7 linked regions of the Sus scrofa genome follow. The protein of the gene in region 1 purifies or fractionates together with the protein of each later gene. This does not show direct contact. Links are inferred from orthologs where the notes say so. Each region holds a gene or a part of one and is shown in the gene's direction. Other genes may lie near its edges.

Region 1 (3,500 bases):
ATTTTCTGAGATAATCAACTAAGGGTTCTTCAGGCTCAGCGTTGAGACATTCCTGAAAGGGTTCAGTGCCCTCTCAGTGCCAACCGCAGGAGAGCCAGGATTCAGGAACAGAGGCAGGCCTTGTACCTCAGCCCAGCCACTGGCAGCATGCTACCCACCATCTGACAACTGTGCTTCCCCCTCAGGACCCTTACTTCATGAAGAACCACCTGGGCTCCTACGAGTGCAAGCTGTGCCTGACACTGCACAACAATGAGGTGCGGCCCATCCCGCCCCAACCCCCATCCTGCCCCAACCCCCATCCTGCCCCACTAGGCACCACAGCCTTGAGTGGATCTCCATGAGGAGATCCCAAGGGGTGTTGGGTTGTGAGGTCTGGCTAGTGTGGCTCTAGTTTGCTGCTCACGCTGGGCTCCTTCCCTCCATGACGAGGAGGTTCCCTCTGTCCTTCACCATCTAGCACTGGGTTTGTTTCCAGTTGGTTCACAGCTCCAGGCTTCAGTGCAGCACTGAACAGTCTCATATGAGAGGGTCTCCCCCACGGCCTTGGGGCTGGTTTTCTGTGGGGGACCATCGTGGGCATGGTGTCCTGGGGTGGGGGGTCAGAAAGCCCCCAGTGGAGACCACCTGACATGTGGGGGTCATCAAGGTAGAATCTCGGGGCCCCATAGCACATCCATGCCAGGATTTACCCACAGGCCACCAGGCCTCACCTGCACCCTGGCCTGCCAGTGCCAGCCTGGAGATAGAGGCTGGCCTGGGCCGGTCAGAGGCACCCGGGCACTTCCCACTCAGAGTCCTGAACTGTGTGACCCTCTCACATTTTAGGGGAGCTACCTTGCGCACACCCAAGGGAAGAAGCATCAGACCAACCTGTGAGTGCCTCACCCCGCCCCTCCTGCACTCACCCTACTTGACCCCACCCCCTCACCTCCAAGACCAGCCTCAAGGTCGGGCAGGGGGTGGGGTGCTCCCGGCACCTGGGTCCATGGCCTTGGCGGCCTGTGTAGAGGGGCCACAGCACCGCATCTCTCCTCCCGGCAGGGCCCGGCGAGCAGCCAAGGAGGCCAAGGAGGCCCCCGCCCAGCCGGCGCCAGAGAAGGTCAAGGTGGAGGTGAAGAAGTTTGTGAAGATTGGCCGCCCAGGCTACAAAGGTAAGGGGGCCCCAGCCCCGAGTCATGCAGACTACTGTTCCCCACAGTCCTCACTTGCCCACACCCACAGCAGCACCCTTCTGGGGCGGCTCTGTTCCCTTCCCATCAGAAAGGTTCCCCTGGGGACCAGAGGAGCAGCAGACCCTGGTGAGGCCCTCATCTCTAACCTCGGAGCTGCAATTCCTCCACCTGAGGAAAAGGGGGGGCGGGAAGGGTGAGGGTCTGCATGGGCAGCAGCGTCTGGACCACCTGCTCCAGGAAGCCAGTTAAGGGGCTGCTGGAGCCTCAGGGATCATGTTTCTGGGAGTGACAAGGAAGGCAAGACATGATGGCAGAGGTTCTGGGGCAGGCCTACTTCGTGAACCCAGGCTAGGCTGGCAGGCAGAGGCCCTAAAGAGGCCACCAAAGGCCTTTCAGCTGAGCTGGCCCTTCAGGCCCCTTCCTAGATGTGGGGGAAGTGGTGGAGAGCCTGGGAGCTGTGTGGAGAGCAACCCAAAGCTCTAAAGTGAGGCTTCTCCACCCACAAGGTGCTCCCCAGGTCTTGTGGGAGCAGTGGGGAACCAACTCCAGCCCCTGGCCCTGGGCGGTGCCCATCTGGCTACAGGCGACTCCACTGTTCACCAGCCAGGCAACCACCCTGCAGACCACTCTCCTGGTGGTGGGTGGTATGAGGCCAGCCCCGGGGCCCCTTAGCTTCAGGCCAGCCTGGCCCTGAGACCCTCCTCTGTTTCAGTGACCAAGCAGAGGGACACAGAGATGGGCCAGCAGAGCCTCCTGTTCCAGGTGAGCAAAGCCCTGGGGTCCCTGTCCTGAGGGGAAGGTCTCCTCGTTCCTCTCCGGCCCCATGGGGGCCCCCAAAAGATGGTGCTGCCACCTGGTCATGTCCCCACAGATTGATTACCCTGAGGTCGCTGAGGGCATCACACCCCGCCACCGCTTCATGTCAGCCTACGAGCAGCGGATTGAACCCCCAGACCGGCGCTGGCAGTACTTGCTCATGGCCGCTGAGCCCTATGAGACCATTGCCTTCAAGGTAGCATGCCAGCCCCTGTGGGGTGGGGGACTGGGTGTCCTGATGTGGGTGTCTGCCAGGAAGCAGAGACCCTTATGTGTCCCCAGCAGTGATATGTCCCCTTGCCGGGCTGTTGAGGGGTTCCTTGATCACATCCGGTTTCCAGGTTCATGATGTTAATGAGATGGCGTAAGACCTGACTTATAGGGTTGTTGGGCTGCTAAGCAGTGGAGCAAGAATGTCAGCCAGCCCTACTGCCCCAGAACCGAACTCTGCTCCCACCCCCCGCCCCATGCAGGTTCCCAGCAGGGAGATCGACAAGGCTGAAGGCAAGTTTTGGACTCACTGGAACCGGGAAACCAAGCAGGTGAGTCACTCCAGGCCAGGGTAGTTCCAGAAGGAGTTCAAGGTCCCAAGGGGCCCCACTCAGCTTCTCCTTTCTCTCCAGTTTTTCCTCCAGTTCCACTTTAAGATGGAAAAGCCACCAGCCCCACCAAGCCTCCCTGCCGGGCCTCCCGGGGTGAAGCGGCCCCCACCCCCGCTGATGAATGGTTTGCCTCCTAGGCCTCCACTGCCAGAGTCTTTGCCCCCGCCTCCACCTGGAGGCCTGCCTCTGCCACCTATGCCGCCCAGTGGGCCTGCACCCTCGGGGCCCCCCGGCCCTCCTCAGCTACCCCCACCAGCTCCTGGTGTCCACCCCCCAGCCCCAGTGGTCCATCCTCCAGCATCTGGAGTGCACCCTCCTGCTCCTGGGGTGCATCCCCCAGCTCCTGGGGTCCACCCCCCAGCACCAGTGGTCCACCCCCCAACATCTGGGGTCCATCCCCCTGCTCCTGGGGTCCACCCTCCAGCCCCAGGGGTCCATCCTCCCCCATCTGCTGGGGTTCACCCCCAGGCCCCAGGGGTGCACCCACCAGCTCCAGCAGTTCACCCCCAGGCCCCAGGGGTGCACCCACCAGCTCCAGCAGTTCACCCCCAGGCCCCAGGAGTCCATCCACCAGCTCCTGGGGTCCATCCACCAGCCCCAGGGATCCACCCCCAGCCTCCTGGGGTTCACCCTCCACCTCCTGGGGTCCATCCTCCAGCTCCTGGAGTCCACCCCCAGCCTCCTGGAGTTCACCCCTCAAATCCCGGGGTGCATCCCCCAACTCCCATGCCTCCGATGTTGAGGCCCCCACTGCCCTCCGAAGGCCCTGGGAACATGCCTCCCCCTCCCCCCACCAACTGAAAAGCTACCCCTGTGCCAGCAAGTATGCTTTTGTTTTCCTGTGTTCCACCCTTGGAATAAAATGGGGTGTTTTTATACAGGGCTGGGCCGTGTGCCCAGAGCCTAT
Region 2 (4,094 bases), on another chromosome or scaffold:
GAGAATGCTTGCTTGATTTTTTATTAACGAAATACGTTCTTGACATTGAACCTTTGAGTGTAACATCTTCCTAGGGTTGTCAAGTCAGGAGTGAAAAAAAAAGAAATGGCAGTCAGTCAATCTTCTAGATGGTTCAAAAGAGGACAGTCAAGGTCAAACTGTTGAGTCTCTTTTACCCTCCCCATCTAGTAACTGAAAAGCAACTGATTGTGAGCTCAAAATACGCCATTCTGGAACTCCCACAAATACAAATGTCAGCTCCAGGACCACACTCTGGCTCAAAAAGTTCTGTGAGGGCAGGCTGAAAGGGACAAGGAGAATGGGGAGTAGTAGGGCAGATGCTCAGGCCACAGCACTTTGGTAAGACTCAGAGAGCAGAACTTTTACCTGTTTTCTAACAGCGTCATCACCTATCAAATAAAAATAATCATCTCCAGAAATGATGATATGAATCAAACGATGTGGTGAGGAATTAAGTCTTGCAATCTTGTGCAAAGCTGAGAGACTACTGTCATCATTACTATTTGCTACATCTGGGCACGGAACCCACCCCCTCGAATTCTTGGGTACATGTTCCGCAGGATCCCCACAAGATGGAATAGGTCATAGTTTTTTTTTTTTCCCCCCCTACAGACTCCATGTTTGGCAACCGTAGATGCACCTGGCTAGCAACTCTGTGCTACTGAGATGAAAAGTGAGGCCTTCAGGCTCTGGGCCTAGCGCGCTTACCAACCACCGCGCCCCCCAGTCACCTTGTCCTCACCTTGAGGAACGGGGGAGGAAAAAAAAAAAAAAAAAAAAAAGCCTTACGGGGGAAGAAACTGCGGTCCTCAAAAATGAGAAAGACGTGCCTCCACTCTTCACCCGGCCGCCGCTTCTTAGGCCCTTGCTTCCAGCGGGGCGGGGACAGGGCTGAGAGCTGACTGAGCCGGGGACGCCCTGACCTCGGGCGCCAGAGGAGCGGGTATTTGCGCTGGGCCCGCGCAAGGGACAGGTACGCGAAAAGTCGGCCGGAGGTCAGGCCCGCCTCGCCTTGCCTTGCCCATAGCCGCAAGCGCAAAAGAGGTACCCCGCCCCCGTAAACCTAGAGGGCTCTCGGTTCGCTCACCTGCAGCCGGGTCACCAGTAGGCTGTAAGGCGCCATTTTGTGCACTGACAAAGATGAGGTCGCTTGAAAGTGACGTGACACGCGGCTTATTTAAGGCCTTCGGTGAGGGGCGTGACCTGAGGAGAAACGCGTCACGCTGAAGGCGTTCCCGCGAGCGACGTGGGCGGAGCTCCAGAGTCAACCTGGGAATTGGGAGAGAGCTGCCTAAAAAGTTGGGGTAGTAAATACCCGGCACAAAGATATCAAAGTGCAAATTTCGTCTTTGCGCTCTGCAACTTGTCCCTCCCATTCAAATCTGGGAAAGTTTTTTTTTTTTTTTTTCCCTAAATGACCCGCACACCCCTACCAAGACCTGACTCCCCCACTGCCAACGGGAATTCGTCTTCGGAATTTAAGTGCTTTGATCACGCGAGAATGAGCGGGGCTTGGTGCAAAGATTGCAAACGCTGATGGACGCCTAGAGAACCAATCAGGGCGACGAGGAGGCAGGAACAATCAGGGTTAAAGGTCTGGCGGAAGCTCCCTAAGCTTCCGGTGGTTTGAGCGCGAGCGATGGCTAAGCATCACCCGGACTTGATTTTTTGCCGCAAGCAGGCTGGTGTTGGTGAGACGGTCTTCTGCCCCCGGCTGTTTGGGTGGGGATGGTATTAGGACCTTAAGAGTCCGGGGTTCCCATTACTCCTTTAGGGTGTTGCTTCGGAGGCGCCCCGTTTCCCGCCTCGCCGCCGGTAGTGTAGGAGCGCGTGGGTTTGTGGGCTCAGATGAAAGGGGGGCGGGGGCGCGCGTGCTGAGAGCTGGAGAGGGGCTGCGGAGATAGAGAAATTCTCAGTTTTCCCAGGACCTGGGAGGTCTTACGAGGGTGCGGATTTGGTTCGGATTGAAGTTTATGAGAATACGATGGTTAAGACCTCTCAGGGCTCACTGCAGACCCTGTACCTGTCCCCAACTCAAGCTCGAGGCTTTTGTCCCCTCTTCTAAACCTTAATCCTAATTGTACTCTTTATCACCTTTGATCTTGCAGCCATTGGAAGACTGTGTGAAAAATGTGAGTGGAACACGCTTCTCCAAACAGCCCACCCCTCCCACTCAGCTTCTATAGTGGCAGCAACGGACATTTTCAGCGGTGCCACGAAGAGGGCTTTGGATAGACATGATTGGAAGCATGTTAATACAAAGCCAGACTGCAACTAAAGGCCACCTTCCCGCTCCAACTTGTACATTTTAGGCACTGTATTTAGGTTTTGACAAAACCTCTAGCTTTGGACCAGAAGTAGCATGACCCTGCCCCCAACACACACAGCATTCTGCCAGTCAATTATATAGACTTATCTACCGACTGCTATTCTAAGCCCTTTATATTAATTGATTAGCTTTCCTATGTGTTGGGGAGATTGAGAAATGGACGCTAGGTAAACCAATTTTATAATGCCAAAATAGAGGGCTAAAGTCACTGTCAGAAGGACATAGTGTTTTTACCCATAGCAGGAAGAGGACCTGAGGTACTTGCAAGTGGGCGTAATTCAACCTCTTTTCCTTACAGGTGATGGCAAGTGTGTGATCTGTGACTCCTACGTGCGTCCCTGCACCCTGGTGCGCATATGTGACGAGTGTAACTATGGCTCTTACCAGGGGCGCTGTGTGATCTGCGGAGGCCCGGGAGTTTCAGATGCCTATTATTGTAAGGAGTGCACCATCCAGGAGAAGGATGTGAGTGTATACTAAGCTTTTCCTCTGATCTTTCCTTTCGTTTAGGAACACTTGGCCATCCACAGCAGACTCCTATGGTCAGGAGATGGCTGTTCAGCCAGTCACCTAGGTTATAATTTTCAAGTTCTGTAAACCAAACTGGGTGTACTCCAACAAAAGGTAGTTATTTTGCATCAAGTACACAAAGGCGAGAAAAGCAAATTTTTGTCAACACTGGCAATTTGATGTCTTTCTCTCTCTCTTTTTTTTTTTTTTTGGCTGTGTCCACATGTGGACGCTCCCAGGCCAGGGATGAACCATGCTGCTGTTGTGGCCTGTGCCACAGCTACGGCAATGCCAGATCCTTAACCTACTGCACCACAAAGGAACTTTCTCTCTCTTTTTTTTTTTCCCCCCAGAAACTATGCTGCATTTTTAAATCATACCACAGTGCATGATGTGCAGAAGTCACTAATTTGTGCTACCATTAAGGAACGTTAGGGTGGATGTGATGACTTTTGAATTTGGGACAGTTCAAGTTCATTTCAGCTCTGAGTGGCTAGAGAGTGCCTTTGGTTGATTTTGCAGAATTGATTGTAATTCTTGCTCATGGCATTTTTGCCCCTTGACATTTTTTTGGTGCCAGTGGCTTTTTTTTTTTTTTTTTTTTGCTATTTCTTTGTGCCGCTCCCGTGGCATATGGAAGTTCCCAGGCTAGGGGTCAAATCGGAGCTGTAGCCACTGGCCTACGCCAGAGCCACAGCAACGCAGGATCCGAGCCGCCTCTGCAACCTACACCACAGCTCGTGGCAACGCCGGATCCTTAACCCACTGAGCAAGGGCAGGGATCGAACCCGCATCCTCATGGTTCCTAGTCAGATTCGTTAACCACTGCACCACGACGGGAACTCCGGTGCCAGTGGCTATTTATTCAACTCTTTGAGCCAGGATAGAGGGCTTGTAGATCTATTCCAAAAGCAGGCTTGGGGTAGGGGAGGTTAATCAGCTTTTATTCATATGACACAATAAATAAAAGGAAATGTGATATAGTACCAGTAGACTATTTATTATAAGGTATCTGGTTACCTAATCTAGGATAAGGCATGAGATAAAATATTTCTTAATTTTTCCTTGTGCAAAGAATAGGTAGTTTCTATGTGGGTATTATCTTCCATATTCTTCACAGTAACTTTGTTAAATAGGGATTATTACTATCCCCCTTTTACAGTCTGTCCTGCAGCTAATAAGGGGCAAGCCCCGGCTGTCTGTCTAAACCTGGTGATAGCTGCAATACACCTTA
Region 3 (4,229 bases), on another chromosome or scaffold:
TGTGCCCTGAACAACTCGGAGGAGCAGAACTCCGGGAAGGAGGCATGAGCCGACTTGGACCAGAGGCAAGGCGGCAGAAGGCGGGACTCAATGACTTTTGGGAGAGGCGACCATCGAGGGGAGCGGGGAGCTCTGAACAGAGACTGCCTCCAGGAGGCGGTAAAGCGAGATTCTCTGTCTCCCGGAAGTGCCCGCTGCGTGGCTAGCAGCGTCGGCGCGGTTGGGGGGGGGAACGCTCGCTTGTGTGGTTGCCACGGCAACCGCAAGGGGGCGGCCTTGCTCAACGGTCGGGAATGTAGTCCCTTCCCTGGAGGAAGGAAATCTCGCGCACGCGCGCTCGGGCTGTGGCCCCGACGACCCGCCCCCCCTCTCCGAACAGTGAGAGGTCTCGGTTCAGACCGATCTCTACGCAGGCGCAGAGGCTCTCTCGCGCTCGCCCCTTCCACTTTGCGCATGCGCACAAAGCCGCGCTGGCAACCTCCGCAGCAGCCGCGCGCACTCTTCACTCCGCTGGCTGCTTTTGTCTCGCGAAACCTTCTTAGGCGCTTCTCAACATCGGTCCTTCTTTTCCTCCCATCGCCCCACAGGGAGAGCCGGGTGCTGAGAGCCGAGACCCTGCCTCTTCTTTTCCTTTCCCCTGACCCACCTCGCCTCTGTCCTCCCTCCCTTTTTGGTTCCCGGAGCCGGAAGGAGCCGAAGCGCCCACGGAAAAAGCCGAAGGTGTCTGCTGTGAGTCCTTCCCCAGGCGGTGGCGGAAGGAGCCGAAGTTCTCCGAAAGGGGGAGGAGGTTGCTCTTGGAATCTCCGGAAAGAGCCGAAGTTTGGAAACGGGTTTAATCTCTGGTTGGGCCCGAGGGGGAGCGCCAGAGACCTTCGGAAAGTGCCGAAATCCGGGACGGTTAGGATTGTCGGAAGTGGCCGATTGCTTGGACAGGGCCGTTGGGAAAGAGAGGGTAGAATCCGTGGAAGCAGCCAAAGACGGACGGTTTGAGTTCTTGGAAGAAGCTGAATTCTAAGTGGGGAGTCTGGGTGCTAGGAATGCGAGGACCTACGGAAACATCCGAACGTTGAAGAGCTACTATCCGAAAAGTTACGAAAACCTGAGAAGCCTGCGAAACCCTCGCTTCGGGTGTTTTCGGAAGCAGCCGAAGTCGCCTCTCCCTTCGCTCCTCCACGGTCCGGAAATAGCCGACGCGTTTCGGAGCCAGGCCCTGGGGGGAGGTGCGCCTCGTGGGCGGGCCGGCGGGGAGAGGGGCGGAGCCGGGGCGGGGCTGGGCGGGCGGCAGGGGCTTGATTAGGTAGGAGGCGGTGGAACGCCGGCGGCGGCCGGAAGTAGCCGAAGCAAGCGGCGGAAGTAGCCGAAGCGGCCGGATCGGGCGCGCGGCAAGGCGAGGCGAGAGCTACACAGGGCCCTACGCGGCCGCCTCAGCATGTCGGACTTCGACGAGTTCGAGCGGCAGCTCAACGAGAATAAGCAAGGTGAGGGCGCCGGGGGTGCGGGGCGGCGGGCGGGGCGGCTCTCGGCTTCCCCCTGTGTCCCCCGCCATTTTCCCCCTCGCTTCCCCCCCTTAGGCCCGCACGGCGCCCCCCCACCCCGCGGTGCGCGCCTTACTCACGTGACCGCCCGGCGTGCCGCCGCGCGGGAGGGGAGGGGGCGGCGGGCGCATGCGCGCCGCGTTCGGTTCCGCGCCCCACGTGGCCCCCGGCGCGGGTGGCGCGGGCGCCGCAGGCTGTCGGGAGTCCGTTGCGGACTTATTTTCTATTTTTTTAATTTGGAAAGGAGATTATGTAGATTGGGTCCCGCAACCCCTCCTTTTCTCCCGATGCCCTCGCACTTCCGCTTCCGGCCGGGCCCGCGGCCGGTGTCTCCACGCCCCCTTTGTTCCAAAATGGCGGTTGGAGCCCCCCTTCACGTGGGCGCATGCAGGGCCGCGGTGTGGGCCCTTCTCGCACCGCCGCCCTTCGCGCCTTTCCTGGGGGCTAGTCGCCGGGGTCCCTTCCAGCCTAACGTGGGTGATGCGGTGTCTCCTGGGAGAGGTCCGCACTGTGCGTTTTCAGTGTTCCTCCCGCACGCGGTTCTCCCTCGCGCCGTCGCGCCAGGCACAGTGTGGCGTGTCTGCCCCCCATATCTCCTCAGTTAGACAGGTCCCCTGTTCTGTACGAGCCCACCCTCCGGGCGCCGCGTGTGTCCGCCTTTTCAACGTGGCGATAAAGAGACAGGCTCGGAGCGAGTAGGGAGACTTAGCTCAGTTGGGAGGATGGGAGGCAAAGTCCCTCCGGTGATGCGGAGTCCAAGTAGGAGGCCGAGCTAGTGCCGACTAGTTTGGACACCCCACGAATGTTAGAACAAACTTAGGCCTGGAGGAGGTGGCGAGCGCGAGGCCTAAGCTCCTTGTGGTCAGAGGACTGCACAGGGGGCGGGGGGCGCTGGGGTTCCCCTTTCAGCCCAGTCTGCAGTTGGGAGCAGGTGGCTGGTTTAGGAGGAGACAGCGCCTGGGGAAGACGAAGTCGGGTTTCGGAGTGCCCACGGGGTGTCTGTACACGTTGTAACGCTTCACAGCACAGGCTTTGGAGGGGAGGAGACTTGGCTTCTAGTACCTGCTTTGTTGCTAAGTAGTTGTGGAACTTTAACACGTCTATGCTTTTTTTTTTTTTTTTTAATCCTTTTCTTGTGTGTAGTGGCTGTTAAATAGGTATGTGTCTTTATTACCGGTTTCTGGAGTCAATGGTGATGGCAGTACTGATAGTGCTTTGCTAAGCTTTTACACGGCTTATTTAAGTAGATGGTCAACAGCCGTGGGGGACTGACATGACTTCCTTTCCTTTGCAGAGGAGGAAGCAGGCTCAGAAAGCTTGAAAAACTTTCTTTGGTTTTAGCTGGTGAGAGTTGCAGCTGAGGTTAAGTGAGGTAATGTGTGTACAGTGTGTGGCATACGGTCTGGCATTCGTTAAGTGCCTAACGAGGAGTATTGTGAAATGATCCCTAGTGAAATTTCTTAGGAAGGTAATGGAGAGGCTGCCCTGAGCTGCCTCAGAGGTGGTGTCAGAGTTGGGACAGCAGGGAGAGGTGCTTTCCCAGCGTCATTATCCCATGTCCCACACTTGGGGCGGGATGAGCGTCGTTTAAAAGACCGGGAACACTGAGGTTGGAAGGTACGGTTGCTGTTTTGTGGTTTTATGCAGTTGGTAGACAGAAGAGCTGAAGCTGATCCTGAGTCTGGCTGCAAAACCACGTGCCCCTAGGCTGGACTGCTAGATGGAACTGAATGAACCTTCCTTGGGGCACTTGCACACGTGCTGCTTGGTTTCTCTTGGGTGTCCCCACTGGTACTGGCACGTCCCTTGGGCTGGTGGAGTTGTTCCCACAACAAAGTGATCACAGCGTTTTGAGTAACCACAGCTGCCTTTCCTTCCTGACCTGTTTGGGTTGAGGCAGGGAACCTACTGTTGCTTTAAGGGGAAGCTTTGCCCTAGTATCGTTGTGCCTGTGGGTCTTTGTCTCTGTGGTCCAAGCCTCCTCCAAGCCTCAGTCCCTGCCTTGTGCACCTGTGTCTCCAGGGAATTAATTTCCTTGTCTGTGTCTCAGGCACCCAGCAGGCGCCACTTCTTCCTCTGTGTCTGTTCCTCTCTGCCTGCTTGTCTGTTTCAGAACCAAAGCCACAAAAGACGCTGTTTTTATAGTTGGCCCATCTTTCAAGAGTGGAGCCAGAGGCCCAGAGCCTCAGGCCAGCACACCTCTGGGCCCTCAGTGTCATGCTTACCTGCTACTTCATGCTACTTGCCTCCTGGTTCCAGGCTTGGATTTGTTTTTCGTGTTCAGTCTGTGTCTTCAAGGAGGTAACCGCTTGTCTTTAGGGGCTCCCGCCAGACCCTGGAGTGTTCTGGCTGCCCCATGTTGAGTATTGCCTAGTGCTTAACTGCACTTGTGGGCATTTCAGTGTTCACAACTTCCTTGCTTTTTGGCCAGGGGCAAGTCACATGACCTCCCTGAGCCTCAGTTTTCCCATCTGTCAGGTGAGCCTCTAGCAGTGTCTCCCCAAGGTAACAAGATTAAGTTCAAGTAGAGCTAGCACAGGATCTAGTCTTAGGTACCATTGCAGTGTTGGCTGGAATTTTTTTTTCTGTTTTCCAAGGTGCGTGTTTTTCTGTCTTTTAGTGGTTCTGGAGTTTGAGTTCACTTGTGAAAAGTTTTATGTTTAATTGCATCAGAAAAACATGTGAGGCAAAAGC
Region 4 (4,094 bases), on another chromosome or scaffold:
GCATTCATGGATGACCCTGACATTCTTTGTTTTATCCTTAACTACAGCCCAAGTGGTGGTATTTCAGGTAGCTCTGCAATGCTGCTCCCAAGTGGAAAGGGGGATATCAGAATATGATAAAGAGGAAAGGGGGATACCAGAATACGATAAAGGGGAGGGGAGGTGCATACAGCACACACCCATTTTGCAAAATTTGTTGCTCTCTCCTGAAGGTCACAAGGAGCAGACATCCCCATGAAGGATTTTAGTGTTTTTCTAGATATGAAAATTTGCAAGAATTGGGCACATAAAATCTTCTCCTAAAAATATCTATCTGAAGAACTGTGCTTGCAGTTTTCCCAAAGCACAGAGTGCCTCTCTGATTTTCACCCAGAGTTCTGCTCAGGGGGTGCCGTGGGTTGGCAGGTGCGGTGGCTCATGATTTAATCCATGTAGAGGCTGATGGCAAGTGCCAAACTCCAGTTCACACAAGCATTACCTTTTGAGCCAGCCTTTTTTTTTTTTTTTTTTTTTTTTTTTTGTCTTTTTGCCATTTCTTGGGCCACTCCCGCGGCATATGGAGGTTCCCAGGCTAGGGGTCAAATCGGAGCTGTAGCCACCGGCCTACGCCAGAGCCACAGCAACGCGGGATCCGAGCCGCGTCTGCAACCTACACCACAGCTCACGGGCAACGCCGGATCCTTAACCCACTGAGCAAGGGCAGGGACTGAACCCGCAACCTCATGGTTCCTAGTCGGATTCGTTAACCACTGAGCCACAACGGGAGTTCCCCGAACCAGCCTTTCGAGACTTATGGAAGGCAAAGCCTTTTATTTCAAAGGACAGGGACACAAGGCCTTGCCTACAGTTTTGAACGCAGATGTGAGAATCGTATTTACACAGAACTCCACCTTCTTTTTCCTCCCAGCTTCTGTTATGTCGTTTTTAAACTTTGACGCTTTAGAACATCCACACCCTCCCTGTGTTTCCTTAGTCCTACACTTACTTCAGCGCTTTGGGCCATTTCTTCTGAAGCCCTTCGTTTTCCCAGTCACCTCTCCTATTGTCATTTATTTTCAGCTTTGCCCAAACGGCGGGATGGTTTCGCAGCCCTGCACCAGTCGTCCTCCTCCCGATGGCGGGGAGTGGGAGGGGGTGTTACTGAAATGTGGCAACCTTGCGACACGGCGACATCTTTTGGCGGGAGAGAGGGACGCGGGCGCGGTGGCGGTGCGATGAGGTCCTCCCGCGGACAGGGGGCGCGCGGCGGGGCGGGCGTCCTCGGCGCAGGCGCAGCGCGCCTCTCTCCCAGCCGCACACGCCGTGACCCCGCGCAGCCGCGCGGCCCGCGGACTCTGCGTAGGGGTTGGCGCCGGAGCGGTCCGGCCGTCGGGGGCTGACGCCGAGCGCTCTGCCCGCCGTCTCCGCGGCGCGTCGGCCCCGGTGCGTGGCCGCCCGGGAGCGTCGGCCGGGCGGACCGGGTAAGTGGCGCCCGGGGCAGGGGGCGAGCGCCTCCCGGGCGGCGCTGGACGCGAGGCCGCCGCTTTCGGCCGCGCCGTGAGGGCCGGGGGTCCCAGGCCGTCCCCCGGCCGCCATCCCCTCGCCTCAGGCGGCCTGGCCCCGGCCGACTCTCCGCGTCTCCCTTCGCGCCCCGCCGCCCCTTTCCCTTATTTGCCCGGGTTATCGGGCCCGGTCTCCTCTCCCGGATTCTCATTTTCCGTCTGTGTGTCCTCGTCTCTTCTGGCCCCGCGGGCGTGTTTGGGGAAAGTTGCCCGGTCCGTGACCTGGTGGGCAGGCCTGGGTCACCTGTGGCCCCGAACGCTTGCACCCCTCCCGGTTGGAGGGTGCAGAGGAAGGAAGCCGTTTCCTCCCCCGGCCGCAGAGCGGGGAATCCAGGTGTGGACATCTCTCAGAGACCCGGGTTCACCTGGCCGCGCAGGAAGACGGGACTCCGGCTCTAGCGCTGCCCTCGTCCGTGCAAAGCGGCGTTGCAGCTCTCACGTCCAATCGCCAAGCATCTTTTGAACATCTCCCTTTACCCAGACCATTTGTCAGCAACGAACAGTGGCTGCAAGATAAATAAGCCTCTGTCCTTGCAGTCTGGAAGATTGGTCTTTCGGGAAACAAGCATAAAGGCATGGGTTGATCTGAGGGACTGGAGGGGGGTCTGGAAAGGCTTCCAAGAGGGAAGGAGGCTTATAACTGAACCTTGGAGGTCTTTGGTTCGATGTGCAAGATGGGGGAACGGTTTCCTGCAGAAGAAATAAGTGCGAGAGCGGCAGAGGCCGAGCGTCTTAGCGCGTTTCGGAAACTGCAGCAAAGGCAGAGAGGCTTGAAGAGGGCAGGTCAGGTCAGGTCAAGAAGGTGGGAGAAGTCAGTAGTGGAGAGCCGTGGAAGGGATTTATTGCTAGAGGCAGGCGGATGGGTGGGAAGTAGGACCTTCTGGACGAGGGCGAAACGCAACATCCTCAAGTAGGTGAGGACTGCGTCTCCTCCAACAGAGTTTTTAAAGAGTGCGAGTCAATTTCCAGTTTTATGGGGTGAAGGACACAGACGTTTTGATTATAAAACACAAAGACATTTTGGGAGTGTAGGATATTAGTAACTTAAACTGAGGGTGTTTTCTTTTTAGAACCTTATCAAGAGATGGACGCGGTGCAGTTTAGAACAGTGAGTAGGCTGTGAGCCGGCGGGAGATGTGAGAGGTGTGGGCACTGAGGAGCTGACCCTGGGGCTCTCTGATGGCTGCGGACAGACTTTACAGAAAACAGGAATCTGGAGAACTGTCTTGCGTTTCCAAATGCAACTTTGTAAAGTGGATGTCTCTTTACCTGGCTTGTTTTTTTGTTTTGCTTTTGTTTTTGCCATTTAGAGCCACACCTGTAGCATATGGAGGTTCCCAGGCCAGGGGTCCAATTGGAGCTGCAGCTGCCGGCCTACACCACGGCCATAGCCACACCAGATTCTTAACCCACTGAACCGAGGCCAGGGATCGAATCCGCAGCCTCACGGTTGTTAGTTGGATTCCCTTCTGCCGGGCCACAGTGGGAACTCCTACCTGTCTTGTTTTAAATTACACTCGAGGAGCAGTCAGGGCTGGTACTCCTTCCCCAAGTCTTCCGTACTCGTGGATAGTGAAGGATGCTCTCTTACACACCTGAGTTACAGGTGACTCACGGACACTCCAGCCTATGTACTTGGGCAGTTATAGCGTCTATGAGAATGAATGGAAGTATTAAACTGTGACAAGGGGTCAGAGCTGGAGGTACAGGGAAACATTTAAAAATTCTTTAGGAAGTCACACATCTTACACATGAAGCGATGCCTCTTATTACCTGTCTTTTTTGTTGGCATCAGCATGCACCACCCTCGTGGCCTTTCCTGTTGCTTTGTGTCCATGTGTCTAGCACTTGGCGTGTTCTTTAGGATTCGTTTTTGATTTATGATACATGAATGTCTATTTAGTGATAAAAGGTCTTTTCTTACCATGTCCACTTGTTTAGGTGCTCAGAGCTCAAACTTTGACTCATTATTAGTTGTATGGTGAGGGGAGTTTCTCTCCCATGAATTATGGTGTAAAACTTACGGTGCTTCTATGGGCAAAGACAGAACAGGCCTTACCTTTAAAGGGCTGATGATATAGTGAGAGACACGTGTTCAGGGACAGTTGCTTTTACGTGGGGGGTTGTCACAGAGGCTTCAGAGACGCACTTGAAAGGTGAGTGAGTGGAATGCTTCTGAGAAGATGTCTGTATTCTTTTTCTGCCAGTTGCACATGTGTAAAAAATACTTTGCCAGCTTAGGTAGAATCTTGAAAAATCCTCATTCTTCTGGCAGAACCATGTTTACCGTGTTTCTTTTTAAGGGGAAAAAAAGCATACCTGGAGGGGTTTTTGTTGTTGTTGTTGTTTTTGGGTGCACCTGCAGCATGTTGACGTTTCTGGATCCGGGATTGAACCTGCACTGCAGTTGTGACCGGCGCCACAGTTGTGGCCATGCTGGATCCTGAACCCGCTGTGCCACACAGAGACTTCCTGGAAGATGTGTTAACCGAAGAATGGTGTTTAGAAGTAAATAGTTAGAAGGTTTCTTAAAGACATTATACAAATCAGCTG
Region 5 (3,968 bases), on another chromosome or scaffold:
AATATGGAATATACCTGGGCCAGGGATCAAATCTGAGCTGCAGCTGCAGCAACCTGTCACAGCACTGTGGCAATGCTGGATGCTTAACCCAGGGCGCCACAGTGGAATTCCCCAAATGGGTTTTAATTAATTAATTAATTTATTGTCTTTTTGCCTTTTCTAGGGCCGCTTCCCGCGGCATATGGAGGTTCCCAGGCTAGGGGTCGAATGGGAGCTGTAGTCTCCAGCCTACACCAGAGCCACAGCAACGCGGGATCCGAGCAGACCTACACCACAGCTCACGGCAACCCAGATCCTGAGCAAGGCCAGGGATCGAACCCGCAACCTCATGGTTCTCATGGTTCCTAGTCGGATTTGTTAACCACTGCGCCACGACGGGAACTCCCCAAATGGGTTTTAAATAAACCATTCTCCTGTCCAATGGGTTCTGCCATAACCTAATCAGCGCTTTTGTAGCCACAAAGACCTTTTATGTTTGTTTTTTTTTTTTGCCAGAGCCATGTGGAAGTTGCTGAGTCAGGGATCAAACCCGAGCCACGGTAATGAAAGCCGCTGCACTGACAACGCGGAAACCTTGGGATCCTTAACCCGCTGCCGCCACAAGAGAACTCCAAGACTTTTATTATTATATACAGCTCAAACCTGCCCGGACTTTGGTATTACTTGGAGGGCTCCATGAAACAGGTTGCTGAGCCTATCCTCAGAGTTGAGTTTCTGATTCAGAGGCCTGAGGTTGAGAATCTGTAATAAATAATTTTTGCAATAAATTTTAAATTATTGTAAAAAAATAAAAACCAGGCGATGCTGATGCGGCTGGTACCCCGACTGCATGAGAACCAACCGCTAGTATGAATGCTACATTAAACCCCTTTCCTCCCACTACCCAGCACCCTGCGAACCTCTGGAAAAGCCGGACAGCACCCACCCCTAAATTAACAATCCAAAAGCTCCCCTCACTGAGCCAGAACTGAGACAAGACGAACGTACATCCGGTAACTTGTGCATCATAGTTACGCCATTTCCTTCCTTAGTAACCCCGCCCACTTCACGTCCCTAACCTGATTAAATGCAGGCAGTCTAGAGGGTACCAGGAATCACGTGATCGAGCGACGTCTCGCGAGGATTTTTAACTACTCGCGAGATTTCACCCGCCTCTGTCTTTTCCTCTTTCCAGTGCCCAGTTTTCGTCCACTCTTCTTCGCGGCCGGTAGATTTCTTCCCTCTTCAGACCGAGACAGCTTGTCGCTGCTGAGATTTTTCCTGCTGCTGTTGCTGCTGCCACTCTCGCCGCCACCGCCACTGGGCTCATTTGCCCCGACCCCTTCCCACTGCCCCGACCCCAACCCCACACAAGGTAACAAACCGACGAGGGAGCGAGTGAGGCCTCGTCGGGCCTCGGCCTCTCCCGAGTTGAAGCGGAGGCCTGAGGCCCAGCAGCCAGCCGCGCTGGAGGGCCCGGGTCCTAGCCAGAGTGTTAGGGGCGCGGTCTCTTCTCCCACCTAGAGTTGAGCCCGGAACGGCCTCGGACCGGGTTGGACTAATCCTGGGCACCCAATGGGTGGGGTAGGGGCGCGGGAGGCGTCTTAGAGACGCCCTGGCCCTTCGGTGCGGAGCGTGTTTGCGGGTGTGGGGCTCCGGCTCCGCTGGCCTCCGCTCCGTTCGTGTTTCGGTTTCCCTGGAAGCTGTTTGAATTTCGAGGTCTGAAATAATAGAGCAAGTTGTGGCGGGCTTTGAGGTACTGGTCACTGAGGGAGAACAGCCTGGCTCGCTCTAACCTCTTTGGAGCCCTTCCAGACTCTGGGCTGTAGTTGGACGAGAACTGTGAGACAGACGGGTCCTCGGAAACCCGTTGTGTTTGCTAAGAAAGCGGGAAAGAATTCTCTCCTATCTTATTTTCAGAAGAACGAGCGGGATTTGGTGAACGACACGTTTCTTTAGAATTCCTAAGGAAAATATCTGTGCTGTTTCTTTTACTGAAGAAAAACCATCAGCAATATTTAAGCGACTGGATGAAAGATTTTTGCTCTGGAGAAGAGTTTCTAAACACACTCGTATTAATTGGATAGCTCTTGTGGAGAGAATTAATTGCGTAGTTAATCTAAAAGCCATTTATATTTGGTTTGGGAAGTATTTTTTAGCGCTCAAAAAAATAAAGTCTCGCCTCTTTTAACAGTTTGGTACTTTTTCCCCCTTTTCTTTTGGTGACTATATAACAACCCTGTTAACTGAGCCTGTGTGTCTTCCCTGTTAACAAGAGTTTAAAGAAAATTAGAAAGTCTCCTTTTCCCTCTTACCTTTGTTTTCTGTTACTATATGGAGTTTTTCTGATATGTTTATAATCTTGAGCGTCTGTTGCCTTGGAGTTTGTGGTTTGGCTCACAACTTTTCTCTGAACTGAAAGTAAAGGTAACACAGATAAATTAAGCTACAATGAATTATAATGGGTTGGGAGCAAAATTGGTAAGGGTTAATTCAGACAGAGAAAAATTATTTTTTATGGTTTGTTTTTTGGTTTTGTTTTTATGGCCTTACTCTTTTCATTTTCCCCAGATGTCAGAGGATCTAGCAAAGCAGCTGGCAAGCTACAAAGCTCAACTCCAACAAGTTGAAGCTGCTCTCTCTGGAAATGGAGAAAATGAAGATTTGCTAAAATTAAAGAAAGATTTACAGGTAAGTAAGAGGGGACACTTATGGTTATGTTGCTTGAAAAGAATATTTCTGTGTTTTACAAATGATTTATTGCCTAGAATCTGTAGGTATCCAGAACACTCTTTGGAGGGAGTGTTTCTCTCCACATACACACTTCTTGTATGTACATGTGGGTATGCACATAGGCATACATGGCTTCCAGGAGTAGGATTGCTTCCTCAGTTTGTGTACATCAAAATGATTGAAACATTGTTTTTTGTTACGTCAATTTTGTACGCTCATAAAAAGTTTTAAAAGCGAGTTAGTTTTAGAAGTCAATCTCAAACTTTCTAGAGAAAGAGGTACATATAACTTTACAATGGCTAGCACTTCTATTTTTAAAGATCTGGAAAAGCAAATTTTGTCCAAAGGGTAACTAAATTTAAAGGGGAAAAATATAACCTAATTAAAATTCTTTTTAATGACACAAGATTCTTTGAAAATGAAATTGAGGGGTGAGAGAGAGAGTGTGCATGAGCAGGAGTGTGCAAAAGAGACTGTGTGTGCATGTATATAATAAAGCTAGCTCTAGTGCCTTGTATTGAAAACACATTATAAAAATACCTAAAGAGGTAACCTGTTTTCTGCGTAAACATTACGTAATGTTTGAACTTAAGGCTAGGTTTAACATGTAGTTGTTGACCCTTTTTAACAACTTGAAATTAAACCAAACCTATGGGAAAGGAGATTTTTAATTTGTTTTTGTCATTGGAGCATTCAGTAAGTATTAAACCTGTTTTTTAGAACTTGCTCTGGGGTTTCAAGAAAAACATAAAACCATAATTATAGTAAATATTTGTATTTTCTCAGAACACTAGGTTGATTAGTAAAAACACCCTATATAATATTCGTAAATATGTGTGACTTTTCATCTTAAGAGATTTGTGAACTTAAAATTCTGAACTGGAATTTTGAAAAGTTTTAAAAGGTGTTTTGATTAGATGGTCTGTCTTCACTGATTCAAAACAAAACTTGAATCATCTTCATTCTATCTAAGTAATTCTTTCCTTCCCTTTATATCATTCTCTTGCCCATTTAAACTGTTACTATTTTAGGGATATTAGAATGGCAGACAAATGAAGCTTATTTGAAATGGGCCCAGATTCAAGATTCTGAAAGAGCTTACCTGGGCAAAATTAAGATGAGTTAATATTTTCAGGTTCAAATTCTAGATTTAGAATAGACTTGCATGAGGTTTCAATAGTATGTTATTTTGTAAAAAAAATACAGAAACTTCAATATGTATAAGTCAGGCCAGTGGATTTCAGGGTCCTGATCAA
Region 6 (4,080 bases), on another chromosome or scaffold:
GTTAAGAAACTGCCCAATACCATTCCCACGTGATAGACGTTCTAAACTCAGACTGCCTCTAAAGTCTTAGCCACTACTCCACAATACCGCAACATTTAAATCTCAATTTTTTCTTCTTTCTTCTTATTTGTCTTTTTGTCTTTTCAAGGGCCGCTGCCGTAGCATATGGAGGTTCCCAGGCTAGGGGTCTAATCCGAGCTATTGCTACCGGCCTACACCACAGCCACAGCAATGTAGGATCGCAGCCGGATTGTGACCTACACCACAGCTCACGGCAACGCCGGACCCTTAACCTCCTTAACCCGCTGAGCAAGGCCAGGGATAGAACCCGCAACCTCATGGTTCCTAGTCGGATTTGTTAACCACTGAGCCACGACGGGAACTCCATAAATTTCAATTTCAAATTCAACTCCTTAGGGCTGCAAAAACAAAAAACAAAAAAGAAAAAAAAATTTTTTTAAAAGAATGTATATATGTGTATGATTGTGTCATTTTGCTGTACAACAGAAACTGGCACAATGTTGTAATTCAGCTATACTGAATTTATATGCAATTTATTTATAATATATATTACATGTATATAAATTTATATCCAAAATGTTTTAGATATATATATATTTGAAAAAAATAAATCCAGTATGAGGACTGTAGTGGGCCTCTGCTCGCAAAGCACAAGAAACAGGTGGACCGGGAGGCCACCACACCGTATTTTAGTCTCTGTCTGACCTCATCTGAAAAATATTCTGCAGTTGACTTTCTTCCGGTGCGTTTCACCTCCTTAAGTCTATCTAGTCTTGCTTCTTCCACTTCCTCTGAGATGGGGTGAAATGAGCACTACAGAATAGAGAGCCATCAGGTAGAACGGGACTGTGGCAGAGGAGTCCCCATGGCTCAGGATCTGTGGGAAAATGAAGAAGAAACTTGAGAGCCCCGAGCTCGTTTTCCCAGGTGTGCAAAGCCAAAGGAAACTCCACCAGCCAAGTTGGCGAGAAATCACGTCCATTCTGCAGGACAGACAGCAAACCCTCGAGGCAGGCGAGCAAACAGGCAACTCGAGCCACCTCTCTGCCTTTGCAGTGCCGCAGGTATCAGACCCATGCTGCTGAAGGTTTCCTATTTCCTGCCCCCGCCGGGAAGGCGCTCGGAAACTCGAGCCTGCTGGTTGCCAGGAGACAGGCCCCAGTCACTTCCGCCAATCAGCACGCATCTTTTTGCATCCAATCACAGAAGCCGGAAGAGCCGTAGTCGGAGGGGAAAGGTCACGCTGCTATTTGGCGGCCATTTCTCTGGAAGCTTGGTGGCTGGGAAGTTGCTGTAGCCAACTCCAGTCCACGAGGGCCGGACGGCGCTGAGTCGGCGGCGGGTAGTCTGCAGCATCTGCCCACTACAGCAGCAGTAGTCGCGATGGTAAGGAGAAAGAGAAGGTCAGAGTCGCCCGTGTGGGGGAGAGAGAGAGAGAGAGAGGGCGGGAGGGCGGGTGACCAGCTTCGCCGGGCCTTCGCGCGTTTCCCATTCATCCGCGTGAGGCCCCGCGCAGCCTGTGGCCAGCCCCTTTCTGCCAGTTCTGGGTGTCTGACGCACGCCCTCCTTCCCCTCCCTAGGAATGTCCCCTTCCCCCTCTTCTTCGTTTGAATCTGAGCCTGAGCTGCTCTTGCTGCCTGGGACCACAGAGTTGGAGTAAAGATGAAGCGGTTTTTCACGTACAGCTTACAGCACTCCAAAATCCGCTTTTGTCTGGTGATGCTGGGAAGCCCTGCAGCCCTTTGGAATACTGAGCCCGAGCTTTGAGCATTCATTTGTTCTCTTAGCAAATTTTTACTGAGCTCCTGCTACCTGTCAGGTGTGTTCTAGGAACTAGGACTATAGGGCGAGAAGTACTGGTGTGGCCCCTGCTCCAGTTTAAGTCGGTGTGAGAGAGAGAGAGACATTGATCAAATAACGACAAATACATAATTTCAAATAAAGTTAGTGCTAAGGAGGAAGCACACAGGATGCTATGAGGGGGTACCATGCTACGTTAGAAGTGTTTAAGGATGGCATCTTTGGGAGAAGGGATTTAACCTGAAACTTAAACGATATGAAATACACACCCTTAAAGAGGCGGAAGAGTGTATACACCAAGCTCAGGAAACATGAGCATAGACTCTGAGCCTCGAAAGAAAGCCTGACCAGTTGGAGGAATTGAGAGAAAGCCACAGCTGCTTGCTAGGATGGAGTGTTGGGCAAGTATTAGGCAGTTTTAGGAGGTCTGAGTTCTACTCCCGGGTCTACTTTGGAAAGCCATCAAAACATTTTAGGTAGAGATATGATGTGATAAAAAATACTTGCCGTGTGGCTAATAAATTGGAGAAAGAAAAGAGTGAAGACCATAGAACTATTTGAGATCACTCTGAGTATGCTTATCCTAGAGGGGTTTAGTAGCCAAGTTTCTTGGTTCTTTTCTCTCTTTGGGTGGATGGGCCAACAGATGAAGGAAGGGGGAAAAGTCTGAATTCGTTGGAGATACTGTTGCATTTGCTGAATAAACAAACATTAAGTGATTGATTGCCTATATGTAGGAGTCACTGCTAAGTCAAATAAGATCCAGGCCTACCTTTTCATAGTGAGAGACTCAATTATGATCTGCCCCTGCCTCTTCAGTAACTTCATACAAAACTAACTTTTATGTCCCTGAGATCACCTTGCCGAGTCATTCTTCCCTCCTTTTGCATAGGTAGCCTCCTCTGCCTAGAATAGCCTCTTTCCCTCTGGAAATATCTGTCATCCTTTAAAACAGGCATTTACTTACTTCAGGCAACTCTTCCATTTCTCTTAACACTGGATTGTTTGGTATCATGTAATAGCATTCTCCTCTTACTACATTACAAAGTAATTGCCCACTCGTGTATGTTTTGACCCTTCCCTCCCACTGTAGGTCTCTTAAGGACAGGGACTGTCATCTGCCTTTTTTTTTTTTTTTCTTTTTTTTCTATTGCCTTTTCCTTGGTTTCATTATATTTTTGGAACAGTGAGTGAATGTTTCTTAAGTGAACATTGAATAAGTCTTGATGGGGTTGATGAAATTGACTGGCTGGATATTTCTTTGAAGTTCTTCCACAAATAAAAGTGAAAATTATGTAATAACGTGAGATGGAGTCAAGAGTTTGCTTCATTTGGATACCACAGCATATTGGTAATTTGGCAGAAAAGAGTAGGTAATAGAAACCAAGCTAAAGAAACTTATTCAGTTGGGTTCTTTTTTTGTTTTTGTTTTGCAGAGTTTGCCTCTCAATCCCAAACCTTTCCTCAATGGGTTAACAGGGAAGCCAGTGATGGTGAAACTTAAGTGGGGAATGGAGTACAAAGGCTACCTGGTGTCTGTAGATGGCTATATGAATATGCAGGTAAGTGGAAGAGTTATGAAGATCATTAGATTGTATTTATTTTTCTTCATGTGACTTCTCAAAGGTTTGGTGTGACTTACAGGGATATAATTAATTGACAAACAAAGCAAAATTAAGGGGTCAAATCAAGGCTAAGGAGGATGTTATAATTTGATGAACTTTGTATGAGACATATTAAAAATTCAGCCACAGGAGTTCCCCGTCGTGGCGCAGTGGTTAACGGGCCCGACTAGAAACCATGAGGTTGCGGGTTCGGTCCCTGCCCTTGCTCAGTGGGTTAAGGATCGGGCGTTGCCGTGAGCTGTGGTGTAGGTTGCAGACGCGGCTCAGATCCCGCGTTGCTGTGGCTCTGGCGTAGGCCGGTGGCTGTGGCTCCGATTCAACCCCTAGCCTGGGAACCTCCATATGCCGCGGGAGCGGCCCAAGAAATAGCAACAACAACAACAACAACAAAAAGACAAAAGACAAAAAAAAAAAAAAAATTCAGCCACAGATTTGATTCCCAGGTGGTTAAAAGTAAGAAGAGCTCAGGCGTTTGATTCACAATGTCATAAGAAAAATATACTGATTTGTGGGGAAAGCAAAACATCCCAGCACTTGGTCCGAGAGAACCTTTTCCAGTGAAATTCGTGTCTTTTGATAAATGCTAAATGTACAAATCTAAGTAATTTGATAGAAGCAGTTCTTAAGAGAGAAG
Region 7 (4,003 bases), on another chromosome or scaffold:
TTCAAGTACTTCCTTTGCCTGGAAAGCTCTTTCCATTTTCTTTGCCTGGTTTGGCTCAGGAATGACCTCCTCAAGCAAGCTTTCCTTCTTTGAATACAGATCCTATTAAAGAAGGAAAGAAAGAAAGAAAAAAGAAAGAAAAGAGCACTGAAGTATGGTTACTCTCCTCTATTTGTGATTAAAAATGAAAGCAATACCAAACTGTAAAATGTAACTCTTTTATCTTGTTTTTTTTTTTTTTTGTTTTAGGGCCACAGGTGTGGCATATGGACATTCCCAGGCTAGAGGCAGAATCTGAGCTACAGCTGCTGGTCTAAGCCACAGTCACAGCAATGCAAGATCTGAGCTGCATCTGCAATCTACACCACAGCTCACCACAAGGATGGATCCTTAACCCACTGAGTGAGGCCAGGGATGAAACCTGCTTCCTCATGGATCCCAGCCAGGTTAGTTACCCCTGAGCCACGATGGGAACTCCTATAAGTCTCTTAAATGACACACAACTGTATATATGTAACTGAATCCACTTTGCTGTACACCCAAAACACAACATTGTAAATCTACTCCGAAATAAAAAAAATTTTAAATAATAACTTATATGAATGCTAGATTTAGACTATCGTCTGCTTATGATTTTTCTCTCATGCATCCTTTCTCTCCACGCACCCATTTTGCAGACGCCTTAAACAGACTATCCAACAACCCCACTGCTGGAATCTCAGCTTGGGTCAAAAGCTGCCCTGCTCTGCTTCTCGGCACCACTGCATTTTAAAGTAACTTGAACAGACCGCAAGTTTGCCTTTCCCCCTAGGGGATGAGAGCCAGAGGTGGCGGGAACACCATCTTTGTCCATGGAGCACCATACCTCAGCCCACTCTCCTGTTGGCTCCAGGTTTACTTGAGTCGAAGTAAAAACTCCTCCCGGCTGACCCATGCATTTCTTCTTTAAGAAGGCTTTCCCTAACTCATCCAGCAAGTGCAACTAGTTCGCGCCTATCAAGGGCTGGCACTGAGAAAAGGGTGCATTCCAACCAGCCCTGAAAGCCTGGACAAGATTCCCTAAATTCTCCGGCGGAGAAAGCAACCCGCCAGGGAGACGCCCACAGATATTCAGCAGAGTGGGCAGGGCTGGAAAAAAAAAAAAAAAAAGAAGACCGACACCGGAAGTCACGTGGCCACTTCCCCTTGAATAGTCGGCAATCGACTATTCAGCCTTGCAGGCGCCTCTGGCGGGCTGTGTTGAGATCCAGTCTTTCGGCGTTCGACTCGCCCGTGCTGCTGCTGCCGCCGCCGAAGGAGGGGCAAAGCTCAAGATGGCGGACAAAACGCCAGGCGGCTCTCAGAAGGCCAGTTCAAAGGTAATTTCTTAAAGGACTTCGTGAGTCATTGAGTCTATCACTGTCGTCTGGAGACTACAGACACTTCTGGCCAGCGGGAGGAGATTGGGGTGGAAGTCCGCGTTCCGGTCGCGACGGTAGGCCGGGGCGCAGACGCACCGTGGTGCGCAGGTTGAGAGGCCTGGTATCTCCCCTCGGTCCCAGCCTGGATTCGGCTCGAGGCTGGCGGGCCCGGGGCAGGTGGCATGAGTAGTTCGCCCCGCGCTTACCACTGGGGTGAAGTCAGGGATTTACACTGAGGTCTGACGCCAGGAAAACGCGCCTCTGTATTTCAGCTTGTTGCGCTCTGAAGCTCCGGGACAGAGTCTAGGAGAGGCGGGAATCACTTCCCGGTACTTAAGGTCTACTTCTCTTTCCTCGGTTCTTTGGGGTTTGGATCTCGTACGCTTCTGGCCTCCTTCAATTTCCCTCACGTCCTGCAGGGAATAAATAATCTCTAGGGCTGCAGATTGTGAGGGGAGGCCCTATAGTGGAGGGACGCGGGGTGGGAAATGCAGAGGCGGGAGCAGTTCTCCTTTGCGGTGCTGCATCACCAAGGTTAATGCTACGCTCTACACGTGGTCTTACCTCCCTTAAGGGGAAGTATGAAATGAACGCTTCTTTGGAGGGCTCATTTTCGAGGACTCGGGGTCCTCATCACCTCCCGAAAGGAGAACTTTCATAAGTTGCTTTTGAGTGTACAGGGAATCGTGTGCAAGTATTGTGAAACCACTGAGCTGTGGGAGTAGTTTAGCTTTAGGTTGTGATTAGCATCTGGCACCAGTTGCCATCTTGGACGGGTCATTTAATCGTTTTTGCTTTGAGTTTCTTTTTCAAAACGATATTAAAAGTAGTAGATAGTGCCCAAAGTAGTTGTTAAGCTTTTCTATGCTGATGTAAGAAATTGTGTAATACACATCTTAAAGAGTGTGTATGAATTGCAAGTCGGTTACTAGGAAGTTAAGTTTACTGTAGACGGGGCTAGTTCTGTGTGTGCAGTTTGTTTTGGGAAATATAACCTATTATATACTTGCTTTCTCAGTTTCTAATCATAATCTTTATGCCATTTGGTGCATGACGTCTATAATTAGTTCGTAATTAGTAATGGATTTACCAGAAATCCTTTAGTTGTGTGGAGGCTATGATAGAAGGCCAGTATTGGCTGCTTTACGTTCTGCGTTTACTCCTTGTTTCTCCTCTCCCCACTTAATTTCCCCTTGATGAGGAGGGGAGTAGTTGGGTACATCACTCTGCCCACTTCCTCAGCAGACTCATCAGAAAAACAGCCCTGTTTACTGTTAGGGAACGATTACCAAAGTTAGCCACATCCATAAAATTCACCGGTAAGCGTCACTATTTTTGTTTCTTCTCAAAATAATACTTTAGTATCTCCTATTTGAGGCCTTGGATACATTGAAAACATTTTAAAGCATATGTTCAGCCTTCTCTAAGAGTATTTGTCAGGGTTGTATATGGCTTTTTTTTTTTTTTTTTTGGTAAGTGTAAATTGTTGAATCTGCCAGGAATCTTTTCAGTTTGTATTGCTTTAGATTATCGTCAATTGATGTGATTAAGAGGTTTCCTACGATGTCTGTAAAATATAGTAGGGCTCAAATGATATGGTTTTTTGCATTAATATGGAGGGTACACGAGGTAGTGGAGAGATTATGGATTTTGATAACAAAGTCGAGATTTGGATTCAAATTCTGACTTGGTACTTTATTTATGATGTCGCAAATTGCTTAAACTTTTGAGCCTCAACTTCCTTGTTGGTAATGTGGATATAATCTCTTTTTCTACAGGGTTGACGTAAAGGTTAAATGAGTGAATAACTCTTAGTTCCTTTGCTTTTCCCTTTTGTTCTTAGAGGAAATGAAAAGTATTTACTTTTCAAAATATCAGGATAAGTTCTAATGCTGAGATTTAGAATCTAGGTCATTAGTTAACATAATGACTATCCACATTGCTGCTTTTTATTTCTAACCCAAGTCCAGAATTTATTGGAGAGAGTTTAAGATCATTTTTGCTAATACTTTCAGTACTTGGAATTTCTAGCCTTTGCTCTCTAGTTTGATTTCCTTTCCTGTGGGGAGTTTAGATGAGTGAGGATTATTCTACTACAATACAGAGGGAGTGAACAGATTCTTCAGTTTTGTGCTTTCTTACTCTTTGTTAAATTGTAGTTATTAAATTCCTATTGATATGGTCAGAGATGCTTGTTAATCATACTTCTAGACACTGAGAAAAATGTTAAGCTTAAAAATGTACAAGGGAATGTAATGTACAGCATGGCGACAGTCTTTAATACTACTGTATTGCATGTTTGAAAGCTGCTGAGAGTAGATCTTAGTTCTCATCACAAGAAGAAAACTGTAAGGCAAATGGCTATTAACCAGGCTTATTGTGGTGATGTTTTTGTAGTGTATACAGATATTTAATCATCATGCTGTATACCTGAATCTAATACAGTGTTTTATGTCAATTATATCTCAGAAGAAGTTTTAAAAATAAACAGATTCTTGCCAATGACAATGGCAAAATTATTTGATGTGTCTTAATTATAACATGTTAAATTAGCTAGTTTCTTCTTGCTTTTAAAATTGTTTCAAGTATATGTAGTCAAATGA

Evidence for each region.
Region 2: the proteins of SF3A2 (region 1) and PHF5A purify together in Homo sapiens (affinity purification with mass spectrometry; 5 studies listed by BioGRID and IntAct, with this or other methods). This does not show direct contact. The link is inferred for Sus scrofa from reciprocal best matches to the Homo sapiens genes SF3A2 and PHF5A.
Region 3: the proteins of SF3A2 (region 1) and U2AF2 purify together in Homo sapiens (affinity purification with mass spectrometry; 3 studies listed by BioGRID and IntAct, with this or other methods). This does not show direct contact. The link is inferred for Sus scrofa from reciprocal best matches to the Homo sapiens genes SF3A2 and U2AF2.
Region 4: the proteins of SF3A2 (region 1) and RBM17 purify together in Homo sapiens (affinity purification with mass spectrometry; 4 studies listed by BioGRID and IntAct, counting the BioPlex papers as one, with this or other methods). This does not show direct contact. The link is inferred for Sus scrofa from reciprocal best matches to the Homo sapiens genes SF3A2 and RBM17.
Region 5: the proteins of SF3A2 (region 1) and SMNDC1 purify together in Homo sapiens (affinity purification with mass spectrometry; 4 studies listed by BioGRID and IntAct, with this or other methods). This does not show direct contact. The link is inferred for Sus scrofa from reciprocal best matches to the Homo sapiens genes SF3A2 and SMNDC1.
Region 6: the proteins of SF3A2 (region 1) and SNRPF purify together in Homo sapiens (affinity purification with mass spectrometry; 4 studies listed by BioGRID and IntAct, counting the BioPlex papers as one, with this or other methods). This does not show direct contact. The link is inferred for Sus scrofa from reciprocal best matches to the Homo sapiens genes SF3A2 and SNRPF.
Region 7: the proteins of SF3A2 (region 1) and U2SURP purify together in Homo sapiens (affinity purification with mass spectrometry; 3 studies listed by BioGRID, with this or other methods). This does not show direct contact. The link is inferred for Sus scrofa from reciprocal best matches to the Homo sapiens genes SF3A2 and U2SURP.

What each region holds. Positions count from the first base shown.
Region 1 is NC_010444.4:76,411,382-76,414,881, forward strand, and holds part of SF3A2 (splicing factor 3A subunit 2), read left to right. Parts: intron 1-185; coding exon 186-257; intron 258-828; coding exon 829-875; intron 876-1,044; coding exon 1,045-1,154; intron 1,155-1,887; coding exon 1,888-1,937; intron 1,938-2,046; coding exon 2,047-2,187; intron 2,188-2,464; coding exon 2,465-2,533; intron 2,534-2,614; coding exon 2,615-3,394; 3' UTR 3,395-3,500. UniProt on the Homo sapiens protein: Component of the 17S U2 SnRNP complex of the spliceosome, a large ribonucleoprotein complex that removes introns from transcribed pre-mRNAs.
Region 2 is NC_010447.5:7,069,851-7,073,944, forward strand, and holds the start of PHF5A (PHD finger-like domain-containing protein 5A), read left to right. Parts: upstream 1-1,294; 5' UTR 1,295-1,660; coding exon 1,661-1,712; intron 1,713-2,129; coding exon 2,130-2,153; intron 2,154-2,648; coding exon 2,649-2,815; intron 2,816-4,022; coding exon of another isoform or gene 4,023-4,067; exon of another isoform or gene 4,068-4,094.
Region 3 is NC_010448.4:59,772,761-59,776,989, forward strand, and holds the start of U2AF2 (U2 small nuclear RNA auxiliary factor 2), read left to right. Parts: upstream 1-1,429; coding exon 1,430-1,478; intron 1,479-4,229. UniProt on the Homo sapiens protein: Plays a role in pre-mRNA splicing and 3'-end processing. By recruiting PRPF19 and the PRP19C/Prp19 complex/NTC/Nineteen complex to the RNA polymerase II C-terminal domain (CTD), and thereby pre-mRNA, may couple transcription to splicing.
Region 4 is NC_010452.4:64,906,207-64,910,300, reverse strand, and holds the start of RBM17 (splicing factor 45), read left to right. Parts: upstream 1-1,294; 5' UTR 1,295-1,460; intron 1,461-4,094. UniProt on the Homo sapiens protein: Splice factor that binds to the single-stranded 3'AG at the exon/intron border and promotes its utilization in the second catalytic step. Involved in the regulation of alternative splicing and the utilization of cryptic splice sites.
Region 5 is NC_010456.5:120,736,862-120,740,829, reverse strand, and holds the start of SMNDC1 (survival of motor neuron-related-splicing factor 30), read left to right. Parts: upstream 1-1,168; 5' UTR 1,169-1,354; intron 1,355-2,550; coding exon of another isoform or gene 2,551-2,670; intron 2,671-3,968. UniProt on the Homo sapiens protein: Involved in spliceosome assembly.
Region 6 is NC_010447.5:87,620,064-87,624,143, reverse strand, and holds the start of SNRPF (small nuclear ribonucleoprotein F), read left to right. Parts: upstream 1-1,280; 5' UTR 1,281-1,404; coding exon 1,405-1,407; intron 1,408-3,257; coding exon 3,258-3,383; intron 3,384-4,080. UniProt on the Homo sapiens protein: Plays a role in pre-mRNA splicing as a core component of the spliceosomal U1, U2, U4 and U5 small nuclear ribonucleoproteins (snRNPs), the building blocks of the spliceosome.
Region 7 is NC_010455.5:83,703,298-83,707,300, forward strand, and holds the start of U2SURP (U2 snRNP-associated SURP motif-containing protein), read left to right. Parts: upstream 1-1,203; 5' UTR 1,204-1,313; coding exon 1,314-1,358; intron 1,359-1,383; exon of another isoform or gene 1,384-1,474; intron 1,475-4,003.